Linked DNA regions of Danio rerio. The protein of the gene in region 2 purifies or fractionates together with the protein of the main gene of each other region. This does not show direct contact. Links are inferred from orthologs where the notes say so. Each region holds a gene or a part of one and is shown on either strand. Other genes may lie near its edges.

What was found.
Region 1: the proteins of fgfr1op2 (region 2) and slmapa purify together in Homo sapiens (affinity purification with mass spectrometry; 3 studies listed by BioGRID and IntAct, with this or other methods). This does not show direct contact. The link is inferred for Danio rerio from reciprocal best matches to the Homo sapiens genes FGFR1OP2 and SLMAP.

What each region holds. Positions count from the first base shown.
Region 1 is NC_133186.1:44,734,967-44,739,295, forward strand, and holds the start of slmapa (sarcolemma associated protein a), read right to left. Parts: upstream 3,102-4,329; 5' UTR 1,911-3,101; coding exon 1,713-1,910; intron 1-1,712. UniProt on the Homo sapiens protein: Associates with the striatin-interacting phosphatase and kinase (STRIPAK) core complex, forming the extended (SIKE1:SLMAP)STRIPAK complex.
Region 2 is NC_133179.1:2,052,670-2,055,764, reverse strand, and holds part of fgfr1op2 (FGFR1 oncogene partner 2 homolog), read right to left. Parts: intron 2,461-3,095; coding exon 2,343-2,460; intron 2,271-2,342; coding exon 2,128-2,270; intron 349-2,127; coding exon 235-348; intron 1-234. UniProt on the Homo sapiens protein: May be involved in wound healing pathway.

The DNA.
Region 1 (4,329 bases), on a different chromosome or scaffold from region 2:
TTTCTTCTCTTAAACATAAAACAAGATTTTCTAAAGAATATTCAGCCATTGACATAAAAAACAGCTATTGACATCCATAGTATAAATGTAAAAATACTAAAGTCAGTTGCTTTCTCTGACATTCTTCAATAAACCTTTCTTTCTGTTCAAAAGAAGAAACAAACTCAGTTTTAGAGCAAGTGGACTTTCATGGCAGAATTTACATTTTTTATGTGAACTATCCCTTTAAAAGCTCATTGAAATAGTGTTTTTTTTTGCTCATTGAATCTTTGGATTAGTTTTAAGAAAAAGCTAATATATTTACTATATAACACAGGGGTGTCAATTTCAGTTCCTGGAGGGACGTTGACCTGCAGTCTAGTTCCAAACCTGCTTCAACACTCTTACCTGTGTGTTTCAAACAAGCCTAAAGAATTCAATTAGTTTCATCAGGTGTGTTTAATTAGGGTTGCACTAAACTGTGCAGAGCTGCGGCCCTCAAGGAACTGAGTTTGACACCTGTGATCTAATGCAGTGTTTCTCAACCACATTACTGGAGGACCACCAGCTCTGCACATGTTCCTAGACTGTCTCTTAATTCCTAGAACGCTGAGAACAGAGAACGCATCCTGTGAGAAATGAGATGCTGTGTTCTTCCCTGGGTCTTCCTGATGGTGACGTGACCTTCACATGTTTTTAATGGAATATGGTTTAAACATTACAGCATTCCTACAACAACGATTTATTGTTTTCCCCCATACATAATATATACCATGCATAAAAAAAACGTACAAATATATGCTTCACAATACAAATAAAACTAATTTTAACACGAATTTCAACAAGTAAACACCCTTTATGTGCTTATGCCATTATTATGATTTACATGGTAATGTTTAAATTCACCGTCTCATTTAGGGAAACTCCTGAAGTAAATAAGTTACATCTCTAAACTTTAATAATAAATCTAAATAAAATGCTGCGCTTCCCACCTCCTTCATACAGCCACAACGACTTCTAGGACTTCTCAAGCAAGTTTTGTGCTCAAGTCTGCATCGATGACTCTACGATATCAAGAACACATCTGGCAACTTTCACGCGTCCTCCGTTCTTGCCGTCTTGAGTTTTGGAACTGAACATAGGCAGTTAATGACGACATTACAGAAGAACACGAGGACGCAGGATCGCTGAAAAACGCCTATTGAGAAACACCCCATGTTTCCTTAACCAAACACACCTGATTTAGATCATCAGCAGAGACTGAAAGACCTGTAATGAATGTAACAGATAAAGGAGACATCCAAAATATGCAGTGTTGGTGGTCCTACAGGAACGTGGTTGAGAAACACTGATCTAATGCAGTGGTATATTTAGCCATAAATTCCATCTTAATCTACTTTTGGGTGGGGATATTATCTATATAATCCTAGTACAGACAATTGTGACAACATTGACAGATAGATACAAAGAAAATCTTAATAATTCAAGAAAGATGGAGGTGGATATGTCAAACACTGAAAAAAATATTCATTGGACTTACTAACTTTTTTGAGGCAAGTGGTTGCAAACAATTTATATAGACTGAATTTAAACAAACTAAATGTAGTAACGTTTATTTGTTTAAATTCAGCTCATGCTAATTTTTGCAACCACTTACCTTAAAAAAAATAAGTACATCTAATGAATAATGTTTATAGTTAACATCCAATCTATTGGTGAAACATCAGACTTACCTTGCCTGTCTTGTGGTCGAACCATACCAGAGCGTGATTCCTCGACAACACTTTGCAGTCGAAGGTGGCGTTGTTTTGGGCAGGGCGACACCGGGCCACGGAGCGCCCGATCTTGACCGGCTCATCCAGGTAAACATGGCGTTCCTGAAACGGGTGTGAATTCGGGCGGCAGGAGAACACGGCCAGCGCTGAAGGCATTGAGGATGGCTTGGGAGTGTTACTCCAACCAGAGACGAAAGACAGGGTTTCTTGATCCAGACTGACCTGTTGCTCCAATTCTTCCTAATGAATGACCAGCAGACCAACGCACATAGTAATACGAAAAAAATTCCAACTCTACAAAAAGACCCCTGCTAAACCGACTACATAACGTCAACAAGACTGTATATTTATACACTATGTAGATGACTTCTTGCCCCCTTGCGAGACCCCCATGTTGCCGAACCAAACCCAATACAGCTGCCCAATTCCATACAAATCTGGGTGTCCAGATGACAGTCCACAATTCGAGCTGTTATACTTCGTTCCCAACACAATTCATCCTCGTCCCCCTTTACAAGCATAGGCCTGGCCAGTAAACAACCCAGCAACTAGTACACCAATAACCTGTTGAATTGGTCAACCTTTACTCCTAAAAAAAAAAAAGAAGTATTACTGTCAAGTTGACATGCGTGTCTATATTTAGAGGGAATGACTGCTAGGCACGAAATGCACTTGTGAAAATGTTAAACCGTAATGAAGATTAATAATAATGTGAGTGGGTTTGGCTGAAGTATGCAGAGCAGACCATCAAGCCACCACTCCCCAAGACAGAGTAATTAATATTGAAAAATACCTCAAATGCCTACTTAAACAGACTTCAAATGCAAGTATTTAGCTGTCAGGATTGTATACAAGAGCACAGCTCGCGCGGAGGGTGTTTTCTTGCGCACGAGAGCGTTAGCTGGCTAACTTCATATTAGCTTGTTAGCTTCGCTGAGGTAACACTGGCCTTCTACTTTCACCTTATCGAGCCGTCCAAGCTGGAAGAGACTTTATAAATAACCCCGAGCTGATTTATCCCCGAAAACCAGCTATTTGTTCGGTCTGTGGAACTTTCATGCGCGGAGAATTTGCGTAAATCCAGTATTAGCTCGCGAGCTCGGTAACTAGCTTAGCCTGCTGAGAGACACAAAAATTTCCCCAGAAAAGAAAGTCATACACGAATAAAGTCCATGACACGGTCCCGTGTTAAGCCATGGAGGTCTCCGCTTTTCGGAACGCTGAAATCGGGAGGGAAATCGTTGTGTGCGACGGGATAATTGGAAGTAAGTCGTCCTCTTGAAGAGATATACACACACATACACACCGGCCACAAACCGCCGCGGGGCTCGCGCACCACCGAGATATGGGGCGGGGCTTTGCGGTGACGCGAAAATGTAGGCGGATCCGCGTTTCCAGAGAAAAAGGATGACGTTTTTCATGCGGATTGAAAATAATGTTTGTTTGTTCATTTTTCGGATGCTATTTTTTTCTTTTGTAATAGCATTTCATTTACAATCAACAAGCAAGACAACAACAGGTAAAACAATTTGTTGAACAGACAAAAAAAGTATGGAGCCAGTCAGATCAGTCTCAAAAATAATACATGTACATAATAAAACTCCTCCATGCACAGCACAATTCACATTTACAACATCCAGTTTGTAAATTCAAAACACAACTTGTAAATACAACCAACAATTTGTAAATTCACAAGCAAAAATCATAAATACTTTCACCAAATTAATTAGATTTGTGTATTTTTGTATAGTGTTTTCAATTTACGAATTGGATTTGTGTATTTATGAATCACATTTTAAATTTACAAATTGAATTTGAGTAATTATAAATTGCATGTAAACTTATGAATTGGATTGAGTATTTTTGAATCGCGATTTGTATTTACGAATCTGATTTGTGTAAATGAATCGCATTTTCAGTTTATGAATTGGATTTGTGTATTTATGAATCGTGTTTTGAATTTACGAATTGGATTTGTGTATTTATGAATCATATTTTAAATTGACTAATTAGATTTGTGTATTTATGAACCACGTTTTGAATTTACCAATTGTATTTGTGTATTTATGAATCACGTTTTGAGTTGACGAATTGGATTTATGTATTTATGAATCACGTTTTGAATTTACGAATTGAATTTGTGTATGTATGAATCGCGTTTTGAATTGACGAATTGGATTTGTGTATTTATGAATCGCGTTTTGAACTCACAAATTAAATTTGTGTATTTATGAATCGCGTTTTGAACTTACGAATTAAATTTGTGTATTTATGAATCACATTTTAAATTTACCAATTGGATTTTTGTATTTATGAATCACGTTTTAAATTTACGAATTGTATTTGTGTATTTATGAATCGCATTTTGAGTTGACGGAATGTATTTGTGTATTTATGAATTACGTTTAGAATTTACGAATTGAATTTGTGTATTTATAAATCGTGTTTTGAATTGACAAGTTAGATTTGTGTATTTATGAGTCGCGTTTTGAATTGACGAATTGGATTTGTGTATTTATAAATCGCGATTTTAATTTATGGATTGGATTTGTGTATTTATGAATCATGTTTTCAA
Region 2 (3,095 bases):
TACCTTGATTGACATTGACAAAGATGAATGAATACAGTAATAAATGCATTAATAATTATTTATTTATGTTAGTAAACACATTATCTACTAATGGACCATTATTTTAAAGTGTTACCAGATAATCAAGTGGTTATGATCTCATAAATCTCATTATTGTGAAATGAAACGACTCATATTGGGAACTTTTAGTCATATCACTCCAGTTACTGTGATTTATACTGAAGCGTGTGTCACCTCCAGGCGTTTGATTCTCTCCTCATCCTCACACAGTCGTCCTTCATCAACTTCGATGGCTTTCCTCATCACCGTGGCCATTTCGTTGATTTTTTCGATGTGCGCTTGCATCTCCTGTGACGTAAACACCGTAACAGTTAACACCTACACAATATATTGTTTCAGCATTGATATTGCAACGAGTGAATCTGCAAAAGTAGGATCTGCAGTGTGCAGTTGGCATTATAAATGACGAGACGCCTACAGTTCAGATCATAGTGGAGTCATTTTAGATTTTAACCTATTATTATTTATTATTTGCATGTATATATTATTGTGTGCATATTCTTTGCAAGCCAATTTGTGCACAATAAATTCAATGTTTGTAGCTTAGATTAATTGTATATAATTATTCACAAAATGAGCGTTATTGTGTTGGCTTGAGAAAGCCAACATGCTGTTATGCTACTCTGTCCTTGAAAACAAACGTATCTCCTCCAAGGCCGTTCATGCCACAAGGCCCAAATGTGGTCTAAATGTGCCTTCTGCATTCAAGATTGTTGCTATATCTCCTCATGCCTGTTAGACTTATCATTTTTTTTAAATAAAAAATGTTAAATATTATATTTTTATAATCCGGGCATATAAAAAAATTATACAAGCCCCAAATTTGGCCAAAAGCTGTATTTAGATGCGTTAGATTTTGTTGCTATATCTTTAAGGTTTATCAGATTTATAGTTTTTCAATAAATAATTTTTAAGCATTATTTTTCTCAAAATATGGCAAGCCATTTTTGACTTAAACTCCATATTTGTTACTGATATGGCAAGCCATTTTTGCATGTATCACCTTCACAATTATTAAGTGTTGTATTTTCAAAAAAATACAGCAAGCCATTTTTACATAATGTTCATTCCCTTAGTCCCTTTATTAATCAGGGGTCGCCACAACGGAATGAACCGCCAACTTATCCAGCATTTGTTTTACACAGCGAATGCCCTTCCAGCCGCAACCCAACACCAGGAATACATAATGTTTAAGTCCAGTTTTTGACACTCATAAAGACTGTCATAGAAACATCGGGGTTGATTAAGATCACTCATATTGCCAAGAAGCTTTGATGTATCATCACTAACCTGTCAAATGTCCCCATAGCATTAAAACAGTATAACCTAGCAACCATTTAAAAATAGCAATATCTCTACATCAGAACATCGTAGAGACTTGGGCATTGGCTTGTTTGACTCATTCTAGCAAATGGGACTTCCTGTGTACTATGCATGGTAACAATGATAATGGAAGCCAAGTGCTTATAACGATTAGCTACATGCTATGAATGATTATCTAAATGCAATAACATATGCTAGAAATGCCTACTAAGTATTAGCATTTGATCAAACATGTACACGAGCATTGCCATTTAGCAACTGCTCAGCAACCACGTAACAATGCCATAAACGTTTGACTTTCTCAAGCCAACATCAAAGTTTATCAATGAACTTTAGGTTCTAGTTTTACATTACACTTTTCCAGCTGCATTTTCAAGCCATGCACAAGTGTGGCAAATTTGCAGGCTTTAATCACATTATATCAGCTGCTTTCTGTTATAGTATAGTGTGGTATTCTAAGAAATGGCATGTTTGCACCGAGCCTAATATCGAAAAACTGATTTACTCTTTGTAATATTAATTTTAATTCATTTAAAGTGAGTTATTATTACCCATTTATTATTATGCAAGTGGCACAATTACATTTGCAAGCACTTTACCTAAAATCTAAGCACTTTTTAAACCTTTGAAAACACTATAGATTAAAAAAACTGAAGTTTTTCAAGGATTTCCAGTATGATTCCTGAGACTATTTGTGTAGCAGCTTTTTAATAGTGAATTTCAGTGTGTGCGTGGGGGACTGACGTTCGTGTGCTGTTCTCTGAGCTGCGTGACGATGGTGGGATCCTCTTTTTTGCTGGCCATCAGAAGTCGAAACACTTGCTCTCTGTATTTGCTCATGATCAGCTCCAGCGCAGACTGATGCTCCTCCAGAGACGTGTGCAGCTCTGCACAGAGACTGGGCTTTAAAAACAGGCCTCAAATAGCATGCAGGAAAAAAAAAAACACCAAGCACACACCTTTGTTTTCTTGCTGCAGTTCCCGTATTTGCCGGTTTTCCTGTTGGATGCCCATGACTAGTGTTGAGCGTGGCCGATGCCTCGCAACCTGGTTTAACACCTCGATCTCTTCCTGATACTGAGATCACAACAAACGATTGAACAAAAAATAAACAAACAAGGATACACCGACAAATACACTATTCAATTTAGGGTAAGCTGTGACTGCCTGAGATTAAACATACAAAATGTAGCAGAGATTTAGGTTTATTACTGAGATATATTTAGTTTTATATTTGCATGTTTGTTTGTTTTTTGCAGCCCCTATATTGTTTTTAGCATGCTACTGTAATGGAGGCCAGCCAGTAGGTGCTGTGCAGGTTAACCTCACTCCTCTGAGCTCTAAAGGTGCTCTAGTGACAGACGCTAGAGGCCATGGTCTTTAGCCTCCTTGAAAGAGCAACTGACTGGGGAAGGTCGCCGGTTCAATACTAGCTTGGAGCGGGTTGGGTGATGTAATACTGGTGTGGTTACATTGGTGCCGTGACCCGGATGGGAGTGAGGTTTAGGGGGGGTGAGTGTAGTAACGGAGGCCAGCCAGTAGGAGCTGTGACGTCAGGCGTTGCCGAACTGTATTGTGGATCCGTCGGCGCCGTTTCAGAGGTGTTGCTCGCTGCAGAAGTTGGGACTAGCTCAACTTTTCAAGCACTGACAGAAGCGTCAGCCAATCAGATTGCTGTATGCAAATACACCAGCTAGACAGTGGCCTATTGC